Schizosaccharomyces pombe: one gene and its partners. The gene in region 4 interacts genetically with the main gene of each other region. Each region holds a gene or a part of one and is shown on either strand. Other genes may lie near its edges.

Region 1 (7,673 bases), on a different chromosome or scaffold from region 4:
ACATGAAAATTCAGGAACATGGGACTCGGCTTTGAGTTGTTACGAAATTATTATTCAAAAGGATCCTGAAAATAAAAAGGCGAAAATCGGTTTGCTTAACAGCATGCTGCAATCGGGGCATTATGAATCTCTTGTTTTGAGTTTAGATTCTTTTATAATCAATGACAACCACGAGTATTCGAAGATGTTAAATTTGGGTATTGAAGCTTCATGGCGTTCGCTATCTATTGATTCGTTAAAAAAGTGTCTTTCAAAAAGCAACTTGGAATCTTTCGAAGCTAAATTGGGTAGCATATTTTACCAATACCTACGGAAGGATTCTTTTGCTGAATTGACGGAGCGGCTGCAACCCTTGTACGTTGATGCTGCTACAGCAATTGCAAACACAGGCGCCCATTCAGCCTATGATTGTTATGATATTTTATCTAAGCTGCACGCAATTAATGACTTTAGTAGGATTGCTGAAACTGACGGAATTGTTTCCGACAATCTTGATATTGTTCTTCGCCGTCGGCTTAGCCAAGTAGCTCCGTACGGTAAATTCAAGCACCAAATCCTGTCCACTCACTTAGTTGGCTATGAAAAATTTGAAAACACGAAGAAAACTGCTGAAATATATCTCGAGATTGCAAGAATATCTCGAAAAAATGGTCAATTTCAAAGAGCCTTCAATGCCATCCTCAAAGCAATGGATTTAGATAAACCGCTAGCAACAATAGAGCACGCACAATGGTGGTGGCATCAAGGGCAACATCGTAAAGCTATTTCTGAATTGAATTTTTCGCTTAATAACAACATGTTTGATTTGGTTGATGAGCATGAAGAAAGACCTAAAAATCGTAAAGAAACTTTAGGAAATCCACTTAAAGGAAAAGTGTTCTTGAAACTTACAAAATGGCTCGGAAAAGCTGGCCAACTGGGATTGAAGGATTTGGAGACGTATTATCATAAAGCGGTAGAGATTTACTCAGAATGTGAGAATACGCATTATTATCTTGGCCATCATCGAGTTTTAATGTATGAAGAAGAACAAAAGCTCCCAGTTAATGAACAGAGCGAACGATTTTTAAGTGGTGAGTTAGTAACTCGCATAATTAACGAATTTGGTCGATCTTTGTACTATGGTACAAATCATATATATGAAAGTATGCCAAAATTGCTCACACTGTGGCTTGATTTTGGGGCCGAAGAACTTCGCTTATCTAAAGATGACGGCGAAAAGTACTTTCGTGAACACATTATCTCTTCGAGAAAAAAATCTTTGGAACTTATGAATTCGAATGTTTGTCGCCTTTCTATGAAAATTCCTCAATACTTTTTTCTGGTTGCATTATCCCAAATGATATCCAGAGTATGCCATCCAAATAATAAAGTTTATAAAATTTTGGAACATATAATTGCAAACGTTGTAGCATCTTATCCTGGGGAGACGCTATGGCAATTAATGGCAACAATAAAATCGACTTCTCAAAAGCGCTCGCTTCGTGGAAAAAGCATTTTAAATGTTTTACATTCTAGGAAGCTTTCTATGTCTTCCAAAGTTGATATAAAAGCACTCAGTCAATCTGCAATTCTCATTACTGAAAAGTTAATCAATTTGTGCAATACAAGGATTAACAGTAAATCTGTAAAAATGAGCTTAAAGGATCATTTTCGGCTTTCTTTTGATGATCCGGTAGATTTAGTCATTCCTGCTAAATCATTTTTAGACATTACTTTACCAGCTAAAGATGCTAACAGAGCTAGTCATTATCCATTTCCAAAAACTCAGCCTACTCTGTTGAAATTTGAGGATGAGGTGGATATAATGAACTCTCTTCAAAAACCAAGAAAAGTGTACGTTAGAGGTACGGATGGCAACTTATACCCATTCTTGTGCAAACCCAAAGATGATCTTCGTAAGGATGCTAGATTGATGGAATTTAATAATCTTATTTGTAAAATATTGAGGAAAGATCAAGAAGCGAACAGAAGGAACTTGTGTATTAGAACTTATGTTGTTATTCCTTTAAATGAAGAATGCGGATTTATCGAATGGGTAAATCATACTCGTCCATTTAGAGAAATTTTGTTAAAAAGCTATAGACAGAAAAACATTCCCATATCATATCAAGAAATCAAAGTTGATTTAGACTTTGCACTGCGAAGTCCTAACCCTGGTGATATATTTGAAAAGAAAATCTTACCGAAATTTCCTCCAGTTTTTTATGAGTGGTTTGTTGAATCTTTCCCAGAACCAAATAATTGGGTTACTAGTAGACAAAACTATTGCCGAACTTTAGCAGTAATGTCAATAGTTGGCTACGTTTTGGGTTTGGGAGATCGCCATGGCGAAAACATATTGTTTGATGAATTTACAGGTGAAGCTATCCATGTCGATTTCAACTGTCTTTTTGATAAAGGTCTTACTTTTGAAAAACCTGAAAAGGTGCCGTTCAGATTAACTCATAATATGGTAGATGCAATGGGTCCGACAGGTTATGAAGGGGGTTTCAGGAAAGCTAGCGAAATAACGATGCGGCTTCTTCGCTCAAACCAAGATACATTGATGAGCGTACTAGAGTCTTTCCTACATGATCCTTTAGTCGAGTGGAATAGAAAGAAGTCGTCAAGCAAGTACCCGAATAATGAAGCAAATGAAGTTTTGGATATAATTCGCAAAAAATTTCAAGGCTTTATGCCAGGGGAGACGATACCTTTATCTATTGAAGGGCAAATTCAAGAATTGATCAAATCTGCTGTCAACCCAAAAAACCTGGTAGAAATGTACATTGGTTGGGCTGCTTATTTCTAGCATTTTACTAACAAAAATTTCAATGAACAAGCTACCCATTATTAAACTTATGATTTGAATCGAAGATATTTTATTTATTAATCCGATGAAGAATTCTCGCTGAGTTGTTCAATTTCTTGTAATTTTCCTTCCATTTCTAAATCGTCGATTCGCTTAAATAGGGCACTGGCTTTTTGTGCATTTTTCTCTCGTAAAGCAGCTTCTGATTGAAAAAAAGCTATATCTGTTTCTGAGTCATCATCCGAATCAACAATATATTTTGCAGATCGTAAATGGTTTTCCTTTTTCTTTCGAGTTGTATGGTCAATAATAGTTTCGTTAGTTTTCATCTTTTTACGTTTTCTGTCAGTAATCTTATTTAACGCTTCTCGACGATTGGCGAAAGTTATAGGATCATCTGCTTCAAATTCAATTTCTTCGTCAGATGTTTCACCCTCACTACTTGATGGTAAACGAACATTTCCTCTTTGCTTCCTCACTAATAAATCTTCGGGCTTGGTGCCTTCAAACGTCGGCGGATCATCAGTAAACCTTCTCAACAACATGGCATGCTCAACAAGTTCATCAATTATAACAGAATTTGGTAATTTCCATAGTGCTTGAACGTCTATATTGTTATCTGATTCTTCGAATCCACATAATTCTAATAATAGACGAAATTTTCCGTCTTTCAAAAGGGCCGTATTAAATGAATCTGTGTCTCCTTTCAAATTCTTCCCCATTCTTTCACCATCATTTCCACCTTCATTTATATATTTGTTCTCGTCAGCTAGCGTTATTAGCTTTCTTTCTGAAATGAGGCAATTAAGTTGAACTTTCAATTCATCTAATAAATCACTTTTGTTTTCATTTATAAGGCATGCAACAACGGCAGCCACCTTTTCCAAATGTGATAAGCCAGGCACCGTCTCGTATAACGGGCCTTTTCTCGAACCATGAATAGAGAAAAGTGGACTTTTTCCATATTCCAGATAATAAAATGTGTCGGTTAATTTTGGGAAAGGCAACTCAATAAAAAGTGCTGGTACATCTTTTAATGCATCTGAAAGCTTTCGCATATAATATACAAAAAATTGTTCAAAATCCTGTCTTGCTGAATTTGTAGTAGAAAAATAGACATGGTCATTAAACATTTTGTCCAGAACACGTAGGAAATCGAGACGATACAAATAAACATGGCATTTTTGCTTCACGAAAATGCGGTAAAAAAAGGAAATAGCCCTATGAATTTGTTTTGAATCCAGATCTTGGTAACATTGAAGGAACAGCACGAAACTATCAATACATCCATTATCACAGTACCTAGACTCATATCTGCCGAAATCAAACAGACGGTCCTCAACGGCTGCATTAGCATTAATCAAGCTGCTTTCTTCATCTTCATCCGATTCCAAGACATTGCTATCAACAGATTTCTGATTTCTCCTTCTCTTTTTCACATAGAGATATTGTTTAGCACTGCTAAATTTCTCAAGCTCCTTTAATAGCACTATAGTTAGCTCAGTTATTGCATCTAAATACCCAAAGGACTGAGTTTTAAAATGCTTTAAAGCGCTATAAACAAGTAAAAGAATTTCCTCTTGGTAAAAGATATTGCTTAGTAGATTATCGGCAATTCTTTGGTAAATTTCTGAGGAACAAAGTGTCATACTTCGAAGAGTGAAAAGTAATTGAGTCATCGAAAGCATGGATGCTTGGAAGGTGCTCCATTGTTTCATTTCAAAGGATTCTACCATTAACCTGTTGTGCATAATCAAAGCTCGTTGGTCAAAAACGGAGGCTGCTAAGCCAAAACTATAATCATTAGAGTAAATTTCTTCTGTTTTTTTTGGTTTAGACGAAAATCTCATGAATTCCAAAAAAAATGACTGAACGTATAATAATTGCATTTTATGAATTGGAAGCACACGAGGATCTTCTCTTTCCAAGTCTTTTAAGAGAGACTGAAATAATGGATTGAATCCAGCTTCCAAAAATTCGACAGCAAAGTTCCTTAATGCAGTACCTGCCTCGGTATTGATAAAGAACGATTTGTTTATGTCATCCTAATATTGTTAGAATAGAATAGTTGAATTGGAAAAAAAAATTTAAACAAACATCGTGTTTAACTAAGTACATACAAAATGTTTTCGACGTGTTCCTCGTTTTCGAAAACGCTTATGAGAGTCAAGCTCATCAAGGCCGTCGGTTTTTATATTTTGGCTAGCAATAGTAAATCTTCTGTCTTCAGTTTGAACAGAAAGCATGGTTCCAAATCTATTATGCCTCGTATGTGCATTTCGTTTCAAATAGCGATTTTGGGTCGACTCTTTGAGGAGTAAGCTATTAAGTTCGGTTTGAGAGTTAGTCAATGAGGCATCAGAGAAAAGGGCTGATGGCTTACAACCTCTGATCAAGTTGTAGACTATTTCTAATATGTAAACATCAAAATGCTCAAATTCATCGAGATTCGAGACCAGTGTGACAATCAAATCTAATATATGAGCTTTCGCAAACGAGATAATTGTTTCATTTTTTGTTTTTAATTCATCGATTTGAAGAATGTTTCGAAATAGTAACAGCACTATCCTGATTATTCCCTTGTCTCTAAGTGTTCTGGATTCTGCGGGAGTACTTAAGGGCTTTAGTAAAACAGCTAAAATGGCGGATAAAACGCTCCCCTTCTTGTAAGATAAAATTGAATTTTTATAATTTGATTGAGCTTGACGCAGATTATAGAGAACATCAACATTTTCTCTGAATGTTTCATGCTCAGTCTCCAAAGGCCATGTTAATGGTACAAGAAGCTCAACACAAGCTAAAGCGATACGCCAGTTTCTGTAATTAGTAATGTCTTTATCCCAGTCAGAGAGTATTGGACATATATCATTAGTTACCAACTGTAAGCTCGAGAGCAAAGATCGAATTTGCCAAACTTTGTACTTTTCATCGACTACTTGAAGATAGCGCTTCAGATCCTTTAGGCAAGCCAAAGCTTCATCACCAAGAACGTACACTTTTTCATCGTCTGAATAGTCAAATCCTCCAATGGCAGAAACAATGCCTTGAATCACCTCATCTAATTCCATTCAAGTTGATTTGTTAAATCAAAAGCTCTCAAGTTCCTTTTTTTTGTATTGTCGGTATGCGTCGATAAATAAACCAAATTTAAGAAATTAAATAAATTTTAATAATTAAGCGATATTAATTATGTTCATGAATAATCGTATTCTTTTAAGATAAGTAAATTTGATTGTAGATACGTGAAGAGGGGTGGTGACAGTAAACAATGAATAATAAATTTTTAAAACAATATTTAACTTTTCAAAATAACTTGGATTTTTAAAAAAATGTGTGTAAAGTAAAACACTTTATAATTTAAATCGCATTAAAATGGCATTCAGTATTATATTATAAAATTCGATAATATGGACTCAACAAAACGAATTTGCTACCTAACTTGTACAATGCATAATTAGAATTTAGTTTCAATAATTTTCACAATTTCAGATGTAGAAATTTAGAGTTTATTATTTTCAGAATGATTAAGCAGCAAATCTTTAATAACAATATAAAGAGATGCATTCTCTACTACAAAATTCTAAAAATTCTGCGTCAAATTCAACATTTCCTCTATTTTGTAAAATTGTAAAACAACGTAATAAATTGTTACAGGACTCATTCATAAAGACTATTTACACTTTATTTAATATAGAATATATATATGATGCGGCAGAAAAGCAATTTGAACGTTTGGGACTGTCACCTACCAGAAACTACACCAGCCAATATAGCACAAGCATAGGTTCTCTATAGAGGTTGCTTGTAAAATCAGCTTCTCTACTTGACTTGGTACATCCAATTGCTGTTGGGGTTTGAAATCCCGACCAGTAAGTTTATTGGACACACGATTAAGAACGGTTATAGCTCTTTGATTGAGTATCTCGGGTTTTTGACGTTCTTCAAGTGTAATTCCTTCTTCGTTTAAGCGTTTCCGGTGTAAACCATCAATTGTCTCACCGAGAAGTGTATTAGGTTCGTTAGATTGCTTTTCATCGATAGAAGGTGAATATGCAGGAGCAAGGCGCCAGTTAATAAGAGGATCGTAAACGAAAGCTTCTAAAACTGCCATCACAGACTCCTTATTAGTACGAAGAACTCGCATAACATGTTCGCATGTTATCCGGAACGTCCCCTCTATACCACTAACTTCCATTGCGTTAACAAGCATTCGCGTAAGGCGGAAAGGAATCTTCTCGGGAAACTTTTCTCGATGCATTGCTACTTCAAAACAATCTCCAAAATCGATATGGATGATATTACCTGTATACCTGTCCAGCATCAAATTGGAAGGATGACGATCGCCCAAACCTAAGATGTACCCTACCATTGACATCACCGCAAGAGTACGAGAATAGTTAGTTCGCCTATTAAGCCAAGCTTCTGAGCTACGACTCTTCAGCCATAAAACGCGGTATAAATCCTGCCCCGTAGTACTAAGTAGGGCATATTCAAAGACTTCAACTTTCTGAAGGAGAGTGAGACGATCGTAATCTGGAGCCATCTGAATGATCAACCTATGTTCTATGTTGAGTAAAATCTTTCTGCTTTCTCTGTAGTCACGAATTAAGACATGCAAAGTATCGCTATCCAAAACCCAGCCTAAAAGGCCTGAATCCGGTGATAAAGGAATCACTGGATACCTTTGGATTGAAAGTAAGCGCTTAAAAGTTTCCGGGTCAGCTAGTAACAGATTGTTACAAAGCCCAAATAGCTGCATAACACGTTCATCTTGTCTGATGTCCTCGTGACCCTTTAAAACATATTGATAATCTTTTCCATCACTGCCTTTAATACTCAGTCGTCTCGGACGTTGCTTAGATGTTATCACGTTGAATGT
Region 2 (3,374 bases), on a different chromosome or scaffold from region 4:
ATGACCATAAGATTGTGCAATTGAGTACGCATCAGACAATGTCTTTGCGGCTTTGTCAGTAAAAGGATAATCAGCCATATCGAGTTATATTATTATAGGAATTTTTATAATTTATAGATAAATCCAAAAAAAAGGAATTGTATATTTGTCGCTCGTTATAAAACAAAAAAGAGAGAGTCGTTGAACGGTAAATATATACGGTTTTCAGTTCGATTTAATAAGAACTTAATATCGTTATTATAATAAATTCTTCGGTTATAGATTGATGGTTGAGGATGCCGCAGGTAGAGAAGCTGTGCATATATATACACGATGATGTTACTATGGGAAGGAAAGGAACATACCAGAAGATGCCAGTTACATTGTTACTCGAACCTACTCCTACACTCTAGAAAAAGAAAGGGATAAAGTAGGGTAAATCCCAAAGACATGACTAGAAGATTTAAAAAAATAAGAGAAAAATAGCTTAAAAAAAAACCGGTGTAAATTAAAAATGCAGTTACCTTAAAAGTCTTTGAATTGTCTTTAAACATGGAATACTCGAAACCCGGAAATGATCTGCGTATTACGTAGTGTATGGAACAACGTAAAGACGGATACTAACCTCAACTTATTCTCAATTGCATCTTGCTAAATACCGTTAGAATTCATCAATGACTGAATAAATAATTTTTTGATACATAGTTCTTCTATTACAGAGATTCTAGTCATATTTCCAAGCTATTTCTAAGATAGAGCTCTTACATTACTTATTCTATACGGTAGCGATTATTCGTCGTAATGACATTTAACGAACTTTAGTTACTTGACCATAGTGGTTTATAAACTAAACAAACCAACAGTGAATTCTTGTTAACGTAACTGTAATCTACGAATATTGAGAAGAAAAAAAAACGAATGAATTTGTTGTGAATACATATTTTTTCCTTAGCGAACAAGTATACTTCATTCTTATTTTCATACCTCTTTAGTCTTATTTAAACCAGCAATAAAATTCGTTTTAAGTTTTCCGTGTTAATACCAATTAAAATAACGTTTTTTTCAATCATTTTATATGTCATTGCAACGTGAAAATAAGTTAATAAATTTCGGTAGCAGCTAATATGGAAAATGTACAATTTACTTGATACATTAGTGTAGCCTAAATTTTATTTGATCCTGGAAAGTATATTAAGGTAGAACGCGAAAGCTCTCCTAGTTTACGCCGTAAATTGTAATGACTCGCTGATTACATTTGGCTTATTATAATCCGTATAGCTAGAAAATTTCGATAACTGAATATTGCTTCTTTAAAAAGACATAAATAGAACCGTGAATTAGTACAGCAAACGAAAGATAAAAATTTCATAGTAACATGCAAATACTATTTTTTCAGTTAGTTTTCCATAATTTTGTATAATATTTCATATCAAACGCATCTAAAAAGTACGGACGAAATTACTTGCTATTGTAAAAATAAAAAAAATAACAAAACAAATTATAATAACGTGAACTGCTATTTTGGTCTCATATATGAAAGGTTCTTGAGATTTTTTACGTTGTCAGCTAGCAATTTTACGCACACTATTCTGTGCTACGCGCTCTTTGACTACTTCCCAAAAGCCAACTACAAAAGGTTTTTGCAGTAACCTTTGTTAGCTATTCTTTATATCTCTTATCTAGCTTGTATAAAATATAATTACGACTATGCTTGAAGCTAGATTTCAGCAGGCTGCTTTGTTGAAAAAGCTTCTCGATGCCATCAAGGAGTTAGTTACAGATGCTAATGTATGTAAGGGGCAGCATATAAATAAAGATGCTCAACGACAAAGCCTTTCTTTTTTTTAAAAAAAATATATTTATTAACTTCTTTTGAATGATTCTCTAACCTCATAACAGTTTGATTGCAATGACAACGGTATCTCTCTGCAGGCTATGGATAGTTCTCATGTAGCCCTTGTTTCTATGCTTATTAAATCAGATGGATTTGAACCATATCGGTGTGATAGAAATATTGCTTTAGGTATAAATCTGAACGCCTTATCAAAGGTCTTACGGTGTGCCCAAAACGAGGATTTGGTTACTTTAAAGGCTGAAGATACACCTGAGGTATTGAATTTGGTTTTCGAGAGCGAGAAAAATGACAGGATCTCTGATTATGATGTTAAATTAATGGACATTGATCAAGAACACTTGGGTATACCAGATATCGAATACGATGCTACTATTACTATGCCTGCTGCCGAATTTCAACGCATTACTCGAGATTTATTAACTTTGAGTGATTCAGTAACAATCAATGCTAGTAAAGAGGGTGTTCGTTTTAGCTGCAAGGGAGATATTGGTAATGGTAGTACCACGCTGAAACAACATACCGATCTTTCTGACCAAGATCAAAGTATCGAAATTTCTCTTACCCAAGCTGTAACACTTACGTTTTCTTTGAAATATTTAGCCCAGTTCACTAAGGCTACTCCTTTAGCTACCCGAGTCACACTTTCAATGAGCAATGATGTTCCACTTCTTGTGGAGTATAAAATGGAATCCGGATTTTTACGATTTTATCTTGCCCCAAAAATTGGTGAGGAGGATGAGGAGTAGATTACGGAATCAATATCTTTTAGTAATCTCTTTGCAATTGACGAGCTAGCATCATTATAAACATACTTTTGTTTACTTTTTAATTCAACCTTTTTTGTACTGCTCCTTCCCTAACATTCATATCCAAACAGGCAAAATACCAGCTTTTACTTAAAAAAAATCAAATTCTTTAGAACCAACAAACTGAAGGGTAGAAAAACTTGTGTTCTTAGTGATGATTTTTCACAGATAACTTCGTAATCATCTGCTGTAGCTTGTTGATTTAAGTCTAGTACATGATATAATACATTGATATGTAAATTAGCTTAATTCTGAGAATTTATTCTAACTGATAATTGTATACTTATATGGCTAACCGCGTAAGAGCCTCGGAGGGACAGTTCGCCCAAATACTACCAACGCTACCACCAGTAGCAGCAAGGCGTAAAAGTTACTTAAAGAAGATAGAATTCCTTACTCTCTATACTGCCAACTTTTCGTAATAATTTATATATTTTACTATTTGGCTATATTTGAAATTTTTAGCGTTGAATATACTATGGCAGGAGATAGTGTGAAAAGTGCAATCATTGGGATTGCTGGGGGTCCTTTTTCTGGAAAGGTATTTTATTAAAATATTTTTTTCTTAATTCTAATACTTTAATACTAGACACAACTCTGTGAGCAATTACTTGAACGTTTAAAGTCATCAGCACCTTCAACTTTTTCTAAATTGATCCATCTTACTTCATTTCTTTATCCCAATTCTGTCGACAGGTATGCACTTTCCTCTTACGATATTGAAGCGTTTAAAA
Region 3 (4,833 bases), on a different chromosome or scaffold from region 4:
GAATATTACATCCCGAAGACGCAATGACACCAAAAAATTCGGTTGGTTCGTACCGCGTATAGCTTTTGACCATTGCGTCTACCCAGACCTAGATTAAAAAAAAGGCGTTGGTTGATGCTAAGTATATACACTCCTCTAATATTCAACAATTTGGAAAAGAAATAGCGATATACATTGTTATCGTTTTTTTATTTTAGCATTCCTTAATGCACTCCATAATACATTTTTGCATAGTTTATGGAATACTCATAATAATGTCGGTTGCGCAGTTTAATGAACTGCATTGAAAAGATTATTGATACACAATTAAGTTTTACCAGCTTTTCTGTTCTCTTTTCTTATTTGAAATACCGCTTGCGCTATTGAATGTGCTCATGAAAAAGGTCATAAATATTAATTAGACTAGCATCTTACAACATTGTGGTAGTGAGCCAATTTTTCCATGTAGACTTCAAAAATCATAGGTCTACTAAATTTAATTTTAAACTTGTTGGCAAGTTGCCAAAATAATTGCTGTTTGCGTATATTGACGTTAACACAATTCTCTTTTATTATTCTAGCAAGCCTGAAAAGCATTTGACAATCGATTAGGATACGATCAAAATTATCCTAATATTAGCCCATTAATCAATAATCTATAAACTATTTTCGAATTTCAGGACCAATTGGCAAAAAAATGCCACCCGCACATAAGAGAGATACCAACGTTAGAAACTTATCTGCACCATACAATATCCCATCTCAATCCGCTAGAGTCGCAGCTGGAAATGCAGCAATAAATAGGAGACGTTCTTCTCCAGTAGAGAATTCGCCAGGAAACGGATTTCCGGTTTCAGAAGATGCAACAGACTATCCTTCAGGCACTACCTCTGAGAATGAGTCTTTACCACTGAATCGTGCACCAAGGTCGCTAAGAGAGGTTGCTTCGGAGCTAGCACAAGAAGAAACACTACCTGTTGAAACCTCTGATTTAAACATAGATGTGGAAAGTGAAGTATTCGACTTGGAAGACATTAATTTTCAGAATGATGCTGATGACATAAATCAAAGATTCACCTACAACAATCATCCAGCTTCCGTTGAAAACAGTTTAACAAATGTTAATAGTATTCACGCGCAACCTACTACTATAAGCGATATGATTGATTTAACTGATGAGACTTCCTATGATCCAAGAAAACAAAAATTTGAACAGGGAAAGAACCCATCGACCACCAACGCCGAAATTGAAAAAGAAGAACCTAGCAAAAAACAGGTTGTTCCATCTTCACAACGACTAGCTGATTATAAGTGTGTAATTTGTCTGGATAGTCCGGAAAACCTATCTTGTACTCCCTGTGGGCATATATTTTGCAATTTTTGTATACTAAGTGCTTTAGGTACAACGGCTGCCACACAAAAATGTCCGGTGTGCAGAAGAAAAGTACATCCAAACAAAGTTATATGTTTGGAAATGATGCTCGGATCTCAAAAAAAGAAATCTTAACCGTACAAAATTCCGTATATACATATTAAGAATGTTAATGAAAGATGTGTGATGCACTGCTCAATGCTTTTTGCGGTTTATACACATCAAAATTGAGAATTGATTAAGAGCAAGTTATGCTAGTCATTACAAATTTTCAGTCCTTTGAATTTGCTCTCCAATCTGAGTCCCAGATAAAGAACCTGCATTGGAACGGTTGAGTATCTTCCTCAGAAACTGCATTTGAGTTTTTAATCAGTTCACCAACCGGTCTGGCACAAATCCAAAACTTCCGCCCGTAATTGATTCCCGGCTTCCTCACTGTCAAATACTTGCAAGGTTCCTTGTGACCCTCACAAAGTGGAGGAGCTCGTTCACTGAATATTTGCTTCCAGGCGTTCCCGTTTTCTACTTTTTTTTTTACTGTCAACCCTATGTCAGATTCATTATTGTTATCAAGGACCTCAATCGAAACGTCTTCTGTTTTATTGGTTTCTTCTTTCTCTTCCTTTTGCTTCGCAAAAAATGAAAGAAGCTTCGATTGTTCTTTTCGTCTTCTCTTTTCCGGTGGGTAGGCATCGACGTCTATGACAGAGTTTGCACGAGAAACAGTTGGTGAGGAGCCGCTGGACGCAGAAGCAGATACGTTTTCGCTCTGAGTGGGTGAGTTGTTTTTATTCTTTTTCATCGAATTGAAATGTTGGAACATTGAATGAATATTTTTTGATGGCCGATAGGCTGAATGATGCGCCGTTGATAGTAAAGGTGGTTCTTTTGAGTGACTTAGAAAGTTGGACAACTTTTTTCCTTCATATTCTTCTTTTAAATCTAAATATACGGGGCAATGATCTGAACCCATGACCTCAGCCATAATATCTGCATCTTGAACCCAAGGTAATAAATCGGGTGTTGCCAAAGTGTAATCAATTCTCGTACCTATCCATTGTAAAAAAAATAACAATTCAGAACTTACCATAATTTGTGGGCCTTGTATTAAGTCTTGTATTCCAACATGTAAACATTCCTTTCCGAGTAGGATGTTGAATACGGCCAATGTCCAACAGTAGTCCCAACCTGCTTGGTAGTAATAAATCACGTATCCATTGTCTTGATTCCATGATGCTTGGAATAAGACTCTCTCGAATAATGTCTTTTTGATCAGCAGTGTCAATAGGATTACACAAAATATTCACATCCCCAACGAGAATGATTTTTCGATTTCCTTCCTTTATCAATCTTTCAATTCTTTCTCGTAAGGCTTTATAAAAGGCCCGTCGATATTCTAGTCTATTTTCTCCAGAGTTTACTGGACAGTAAACACCGATTAGGATGAACATCTGAAAATCTAATAATATACACCTTCCTTCACTATCAATCCAATTAGCAGTTTTTCTGTCAATGTCTTTTGGGAAAAATCCTATCTTTTCATGCTCCGGTGCTTCTGAATATGAATATTTTTGTCCTCGTACTGGCAGGATGCCAGTAATTCCCTCTTCTGCTTTCACTGGAATAGCAACATCTTTTTTTACATAAAATCCAACCCCACTATAGCCTTTTCTGATCTTAGGAAATGTAAAATAACTGTCGAATCCCTCAACAACTGCATATTGTTGAGGAAAGCTGTCTTTCTGCATTTTCAATTCTTGAACACATATTACATCAGCCTGTAACTCTTGAAATATCTCTTTGTAGGAATTTTTTTTATTCCATGGAAAATAATTGAATGGATTCTGTATACCGTTCACATTCCAACTTAGAATTCGCATTCTTATAATTTTTACGTAGAGAAAGTGTGCGAAGGTAAAGGCGACAGACTTTTGAATTTACAATTGTTGACATAAGTTAATCTGATGGAAAATAAAATGCATTTGTTTAATTCGAGAATGAACTTTTTCTTTTCTTTTCGACCTTCTCCCTATTGAATGTTGATTTTCAAAAAAATTCTAGATTGACTAATATTGAGTTACAACTGTAAACAATCTAATGATTCTTTCTAAATATATGTCATTAAACGAGTATACATGTTGTGCTAGAAAGACATTATCTCAAACTGCTGTTTAAAAAAGCTATGTTTGGATACAAGGATGTAAATTGGGGTATTAACAGGTATCCAAAAAATCCATTAAAAAATAAAGAAGGTTTAGTTTTTCGTGTAAAAAAATATGATTAGCTCTCCATGTAAGTTAGGACTATTGACAATCTTCATATACATTTAACCAACAGTAATTACGAAGAATCATTAAGTTGAAGAGATTCTTCTGAGTCGGATTCAGAGCTATCTTCAATTGGGTTTCCCGTAGCATCTGTAAGATGAATGGTTTCTATTTGAGGAGATTCTGCGTTTGCGTCTAATGTATCATTCACTTCTTCGAGGTCCTCCACATCATCAATATTTTGCTCAACTTCATTTTGTGCTATATCCTCCGCAATTCGTTCTTCTTCTAATTCGTCTTTTTCTTCATCTAGAGGAGTAGTGTCATGCGCGTCTATTTTGGCTTTCTTTCTGTTATCAACATCTGATACGTTAGGGAGTTTCAATCGTTTTTCTTTCAAGGCAAGCTCATATGCTTTAATAGTTAGAAGAAGTACAGAGTAAGAAACATACCTTCGAGATGTTTTTTTAACGTTTTAGAGAATTCTGGATACTCAATTTCATCGAGCGCATTCAAAACGTCTTGAGGCATAAGAATTTTTCTGTTATTATTCGTAGCAATTTCCCCAGAACTAAGTAACGTTAGTCTTTATTCATTCATATACAAAGTGTTTCCAGAAGAAAATAAAATTGGCAATTATATAATAAATTCTTTCATCATACAAGCCCTTCAATATGGTTATATAGTTATATAGATTACATACGCGGATGTTAGAAAACTAACAAAAAGAGTTGCTGAATTGATCATAGCCTTGAGAGCTTCTTTTTGTACAAGACTCTTTTCAGGTAAGACACCTTTGACTAATCGCATAATGATCGATCGAGGAAGCGCCAGATCATCCAATTCGGAAGTTTCTTTCGATTTATCTTGATTCATATTGATTTTCCAGCCGCTAGATCTTTTACAAACGCTGTATACAAGTCTTTTATAAATCCAATCCAAATATCATCCTATGGTCACCAAACGATAATCACAGAGAAAGGCGGTTGCTTCTTTTTAGCTAATTAATGTATAATAAATTCACTGAGTCGCCTATTTCTGTCAATTTTCACTAAACACTATCTGTGCGTTATGAGCAGAATCCGAGAGAGCCTTAGAGTTGAAACATTTGTAGAAATGCTATCAAATTTCTTAAAACTAAATAGTTGTACTGTTTTGTTTATATTAAATGAGTAAAAAAAAAAGTTTTTTAGCGTTGTTAGAAATAAATAAAGC
Region 4 (6,133 bases):
TAAGAACACCAAATAAATTCATATAACCAAAAGTTCGAGCCCAAACTGGAAGAGTTCCAGGAGGTGCAAAGATGAAAAGAATAAATGAAATGATAAAAGGAGCCGAATAATGCATGACTCCATATGGAACCCAGGCCAAAATATCAAGGATGCTATGCGTGGTTTTCGAGAGAAGACTAGAAAGATTAGAGCCATAAAGAATATTTTCAAGTGTGGGTAAAACACGAACCCATATGGGTGGACGCCAGCGTTCTGGAATAAACCTACAAGAGTAAAATAAAATTGCCCAGGTGATGATAACAATGGCAGGAAAAAAAATTTGGCGTGTTAAAGGAACGGTCAACGCAATGGCCAAAAGACAGGCAATGCCAAATTTCCCCCAGAATCCAGGAGATTCAATGACAATACAAGCAAAAATCAAATTACCTGCTAGAAACACATATTGCAAATGTGTCCATGACCATTTCGTATTGCGTAGCAAACGAAATGTAGGCATAGGGTTTAAGCTTGTTTCCAACTTGTATTGGGATGCTCGGTTACACGCAGCAAGGCGCTTTTTTAAGGTCGAAAGAGCAGACATTGCTTCAAAGAATTATCAGAGTAAAAAAGGGAAGCGTACGAAAAAAATTTCGTAAGGAATTAACCGGAAAACTAAAGGAAAAAAAAGGAATTTTTATGAAGGAAAGAAAGTAGCTATTAAATGCAAGTGTCAAGCACTTAAAAGTAGCGATGTAAAATATTTAAAAAAAGATGGACCGATTAACCAATGTTCAGCTCACAGTTGCCAGCAATCAGGGCTATTTTTTTATTTTTTTTATAAAATTGCTAATTATATATAATATAATTAGTTTATTAACTTGCTTTTCCTCAAAAAACCAATTCGAGAAAGGAACTTTTGCAGAGGCAAAAAAGCTTCTCCGAAAGAGATACTAGTTTAAAAACCTTTGGTTGCAAATACAAACCAAAATACTCCAATTTAACTATACAATTGGAGTTAGTCGATTTCAATTGCCCCGTATAAATGGTTCTTTAGAGGTTGGTAGTGGCGAGCTGAGAATGGTACGGTCGGCTAGTATTTGTTTAGGTTTGGCAAGTGGTGTTACTGTAGCGCAACACAAGATAGCCTAGCGAAAACAACGTTATTTCGAAACTCTAGGTAATTGGAAGATATTCCTTCTCAGGTAACACTATTCGGCAACGGCAGCCAATAAAATATTTGAAAGCTAAGACTCGTTATTAAACAATAAGACACTAAGCTCCATATATAATTACCGTATCCAAGTTTACTGCACGGAAATGAGAAAGCGGAAAGTAAATCAGAAACAATTTTAGCGAAATAAAATATGAATTTCGATATAATAAGATAAAAACATTGCGGTTGAGGGTAGTATCAGATGAAGCAAATATATTATTGTAACTAAATACCTTAAGCGCATCTAGGACACGTACTTAAGCATGGGTCTATATATTCAATAACTTAGCAATGTTACGAAATATTTAGGAGGAATAGTTTTATGCACTCTTTAATACTTCAAATTTTACTTCCGTCTATATCTGTTGAATTAAGCATTCAAAATGACAATTGACAACATTAAAACAATGTAAATCTATTTGGAAGTACTAATTTTTGTTTTCGATTTCTTAATTAGGAAAACAAAAAGTGCCTACTTGCATTTTCACAGCCTTTTTCTTTGGATTCTGAATGTATACATTAGCACCCTGTTGATAATTCTTTCACGTAGGTAAAAAAGACATCATTAAGCTATTGATTTTAAATGGCCGTAGAAAATTCAAACTGTCGTAGGTCAGACAACACTTCTCTAAAGATGAAACCAAATCGTATATTTGTTAACTAGAAATCAAAATCATATATCGCATATTAATTGTTATCTTAATTTTTGTGTTCCTTAGGTTCTCGAAATTCCAACGATGGATATTCTTACATACATTCAACACAACCCAACATATTAACTCGAACAAGCCATGGTTGGTTGTCAATAATCCTTTCACATTTGGAGGAACTCGTAAGGATCTATCTTCTAAATAAGGGCGTTATATATATTTAAACCTGTACATATCTATTTTCATTGATTTTAATGTTTTTTCCGTATTTGCTAATTTCTTTGATGCATACGATTAACTAATAGCTTTTTCTATTCTATCAAAATTTGACTCTAATCAAATTAAATTGGTTCCAAGCGTTTAACTTTGTGAATTCATGGCAGAAATTATTCATCATTCAAACGTATTCACCTGGGCTTTTCATGTTTCCGAATATGATGGTGCTCCTCTCCTTTTACTTGGATCTTTTTCCTCTGTAGCTTCTGTGAGTTTAAAGCGATCTGGTGATTTACTACTTTTTGAAAGATTCACGTTGCCTGCAAGAACGAGGTCTGTTGCTTTGTTATCAAGCCATTTCCTTCAGTCAGAATCAGGTAGACATTCAATAGCGAATATTTTAATTGCTACTGAAAACGGAAAATGCTACTTGTTGCAGCTCGTCAAAACACCAGAAAAAGCGTTTCCGACGATTCGTATTAGAGATGAATTCGTTCTTGATACTCGAATGTACAACCATGAACAATTAGGAAAATCAATTGATTTATGCCCAAATGCTTCCTTGTGGGCTACTAATTCTTTTGCTGGTGATATTGTATTTTTCTTTTCACATCATCCTTCCTTAAGCAAGCAAGTCTTCGCTCAACTTTCTATCGATGGAATAATACTTCATACCATATTTGTACCTCCAAAAAGATCCTCTTCGTCTTGTGTTACGTATGTTTGTCTTTTTCTAGATTCAAATTCGAATCCTAGAATCAATGTTTATAGGTGGTCTAAGACGGAAACCTTTTCTGATGCTAGTTCTTACATAACCTTCTCAATACCGGTTCCATCCGAATTTTCTCTTGCTTCCCATATTATCCCTTGCTCCAATATTCCTGATCATTTTTTAGTATTATTGGAGACAAAGATTTGTCTGCTTTCTGTCCCACAGATAGAATGTGGGGATCTAAAATTTTTACAGACCGATCTTCCATGCAGCGGTTCACATAATTATCCATTGTCTATTGCAAATGATAACGAAACTCCGAATTGTTGCTATTTAACCTACGAAAATGGAGATTTGTATCGCATTCGTTACTCTATTTTGTCTATTGATATTAATTTAATTGGAAAGACTGGATCTTCTTTAGGAAATTTGATACTACCTTGTTATCCATACATTGTTTTTTGTGGTGACTGTTCTGATACATTAGTGTATGATGTTTCGGTATCGCCTATGTCCTTTTTTGGTAGCTTAATTGCTTGCGCTCCAATGTGGGATTTTGTGTATTCCTCATCAAGGCATAACACTTTGTTGGATGAAGACATCAATTGTAATACAGTTTATGCTACTGCTGGCATTGGTAAATCTGGGTGTTTGGTCACAATGCGTTACGGGTGCTCATCCACTACTTTGCTTGAAGCAATATTAACTGAGGGAGCTGTTTTATCAGGAATTATAAATTCTAACCACAACTCTGAATTTTACGCTTGGCTAACTTATCCTTGGCAAACACAAATTTTAAGGCTTCATCTCGATGGGGTCGTCGAAGATGTTACCGAAAGTCTTTTTTTGGATGATATAAAAGCTTTATATGTTATAAATTACCAAAATACGTTTATCATTATTACGGGAAAATCCATTTATGCTGTTACTCCTAGTTGTACAAAGTATAACCTTCTTGAGGTTTCAGGAGATGAAGAATTTGTTTTGGCTGCTTATAACGAATTAATTTTCATCGTTAAAAAAGATTTAATGAATTTCAAAAGTCAATTGCTTACACTAAAACTAAATACTCTTTCTAATGGTACACTTGAACTTCAGTCGCTTCCGGATTCCTTCGATCTACACGATGTCCCTACTTGTATTACTTCCTTTTCTTTGGAAAGAAAGCTACTGGTGATACTGGTTCATCCTTCACCTTATTTTGAATGCGTTTTCTATGATGAAACCTCACACTCTAGTGTCTATAAAGTCCCCTTAACAGGTTTTCAATTTGGATACCTTCCTCATAGCATATCGTATTTGAGAAAATCAAACCGCGCTGTTTATGTATTGATTTCATCCAACTCTACTCTTTTAACCGTCTATGTAACTCTAACGTTAGAGGGAGTACCGGATTTTAAAGTTTACTCTAATCCTATTTCAACAGACTTACCACTCACGTTACAGTCACCCTCCGATGAGTTTTCAACAATTTATGCATGGTCTGACTATTTGTATATAGTGGGTATCGATATGGAAACTGAACAACCTACGCTGAACCAGATACTTGAAGTAAATGACAGTTTTACTTGTGTTTCTGGTATTTACGATATTCCAAATAAGTTCCAGAACAGTGAATCAAGAATCATAGTGTATTATTCGAATAATACTTTGTACCTATCGGAACTTTGGCTTCCACAGCGAACCTTTTCTTCAAAACTAAATCTTGCAGCAACTCCCAAGAGATTACTTGTTGATAAATATACGAACACTTTAATCATTGGATGTTGTCACGTTTTAGTAAATGAAATTACAACCTCAGGTCTTGCTTTTTACGACTTGACTAAGTGAGTTACGTGTTTCTAGTGCCTACTAACAATTACACAGCTCGCGACTTTTCCCTGTCAATTGGCCTTCAATGGATATTAAAGGTAAACCAATATTCAAACCGGAGGAATTATTATATTCTATGTCTTGTAAGTTAGCTTTACTTTAATCACCTAACGATTATTTAGTTTGGATTGTAGCCGACGATCAAAAAAGAAAATATAGGTACCTTTGTATAGGAACAGGGGTACGAAAAAACGGATTAACTACAGGTCGTTTGTTAATTCTTACCATGAATAAAGATCATGACAGCAATGCTATAGAACTTCGCAATGTCATCACAATTAATATGAAAGACCCTATTTATTCCGTTTGTTCGATCGGAAAACATGGATTGTGTTATGCAACAGGACGAAAGATTGGTGTAAAGATGTTGGACTTAGACTCAAAGAAGTTTTGCAACAGTGATTGTGAGTTACCTGTTCGGTCTCCCATTGTATCGATGTCAACGTATAAGGACTATGTGTACACTTCTAGTTTAAGAGATTCTGTTGCCGTGTTCCAGTATGATAGTGAAAACAACTCCCTTAATTTAGTTTGCAGCGACACATCATCGAGACTAGGCATTGATTGCTTTTACATTTCACAAAAAAAATTATTGTTTTCTTGTGACAAAGACCGGTTATTAACTTGTTTCAAAGTTGAGGGTGAAGTTTGCACGTCTACCAGAGAACAAATGCTCCAGCCAATTCTTACTACAGTGTCTCAAACAAAAACAAATGCCTTAACTAACCATTTAAAGTATTCAGTTATTCGGGTGGATAAAGATAATCATAATATTGTTTGGGGATTGATGGGTTGTACTTTAGATGGGAATATCTTCAAGATCTTAATGCCTAACGATCCGACTTCGTCGGATACAATTATCTATTCTGATACTTAATGTTATCACACATTAGAAATTCCAATTTACAACAATAAATTTATCAGAGCAATACTAATGAACAATTTTTGGATGGTTTTAAATGACGTAGATAAGCAAAGAGTATAATATTAAATTAATTTAATATAAACTTGGAACGCATGAATGTTAATTTTCATTAAAAAAGAGTTATATAAGTCAATAAATCTTTACATGTCAGCAGTAAAAAGTTGGCTAGCTATCGACAACTTTCTGACAGCAGTGTTTCATTCACAATCTTCGTGTTCCCATATAACCCGCCTAAAGATTGCTGGACAAAAATAATTCTTTGAGAGTCATAAAGGTAATGGTGTCCTGCAGAAGTGCAAATAATTTGTAACTGTAATCCAAACTTTAAATGACTTAAAATTTTCCCACTTTTATCGTCTAGTTGCTGAAGATAATGTTTCTGGCGAATCCAGGTTTTAGAGCAATCAACCATACTTGAAACATTATAAGGCACCAAAAAAACTTTAATGACTAAACCGTTAGTTTGTCGAAGTATTAGTTGTAATTGCCCAACTGATGGAATTCTATATCCGAATGGATAGCCTTTATTCATGACTTTGTCGCTTTTTTGACTTCTCAGTCGAAAT

The links.
Region 1: of mms1 (region 4) and swi1, a mutation in one rescues a mutant of the other (synthetic rescue), as found in Schizosaccharomyces pombe (one study listed by BioGRID).
Region 2: mutations in mms1 (region 4) and pcn1 impair growth when combined (synthetic growth defect), as found in Schizosaccharomyces pombe (one study listed by BioGRID).
Region 3: mutations in mms1 (region 4) and apn2 are lethal when combined (synthetic lethality), as found in Schizosaccharomyces pombe (2 studies listed by BioGRID, with this or other methods).

What each region holds. Positions count from the first base shown.
Region 1 is NC_003423.3:908,732-916,404, forward strand, and holds the start of swi1 (replication fork protection complex subunit Swi1), read right to left. Parts: upstream 6,049-7,673; 5' UTR 5,863-6,048; coding exon 4,915-5,862; intron 4,899-4,914; exon of another isoform or gene 4,840-4,898; coding exon 2,872-4,839; 3' UTR 2,795-2,871; coding exon of another isoform or gene 1-2,794. Other genes in the region: ATR checkpoint kinase Rad3, read left to right, coding at 1-2,794; TORC1 serine/threonine protein kinase Tor2, read right to left, coding at 6,540-7,673. UniProt on the Schizosaccharomyces pombe protein: Forms a fork protection complex (FPC) with swi3. FPC coordinates leading and lagging strand synthesis and moves with the replication fork. It is required for programmed fork-pausing which is necessary for mating-type switching.
Region 2 is NC_003423.3:3,614,999-3,618,372, forward strand, and holds pcn1 (DNA polymerase delta processivity factor), read left to right. Parts: upstream 1-1,596; 5' UTR 1,597-1,686; coding exon 1,687-1,767; intron 1,768-1,876; exon of another isoform or gene 1,877-1,878; coding exon 1,879-2,580; 3' UTR 2,581-2,847; downstream 2,848-3,374. Other genes in the region: heat shock protein Hsp104, read right to left, coding at 1-78.
Region 3 is NC_003423.3:1,285,804-1,290,636, reverse strand, and holds apn2 (AP-endonuclease Apn2), read right to left. Parts: upstream 3,249-4,833; 5' UTR 3,232-3,248; coding exon 2,439-3,231; exon of another isoform or gene 2,402-2,438; coding exon 1,623-2,401; 3' UTR 1,487-1,622; coding exon of another isoform or gene 677-1,486; 3' UTR 543-676; downstream 1-542. Other genes in the region: U3 snoRNA associated protein Dip2, read right to left, coding at 1-73; SUMO-targeted ubiquitin-protein ligase E3 Slx8, read left to right, coding at 677-1,486; DNA polymerase epsilon subunit Dpb4, read right to left, coding at 3,692-4,032, 4,071-4,189, 4,322-4,494. UniProt on the Schizosaccharomyces pombe protein: DNA repair enzyme that cleaves apurinic/apyrimidinic (AP) sites and removes 3'-blocking groups present at single strand breaks of damaged DNA. Provides the majority of the AP-endonuclease (APE) activity. Repairs phleomycin D1-induced DNA damage.
Region 4 is NC_003424.3:593,363-599,495, reverse strand, and holds mms1 (E3 ubiquitin ligase complex subunit Mms1), read left to right. Parts: upstream 1-1,969; 5' UTR 1,970-2,218; coding exon 2,219-4,596; exon of another isoform or gene 4,597-4,636; coding exon 4,637-4,725; exon of another isoform or gene 4,726-4,764; coding exon 4,765-5,519; 3' UTR 5,520-5,595; downstream 5,596-6,133. Other genes in the region: inositol phosphorylceramide synthase Aur1, read right to left, coding at 1-580; SPOM_SPAC3H8.04 (chromosome segregation protein), read right to left, coding at 5,737-6,133.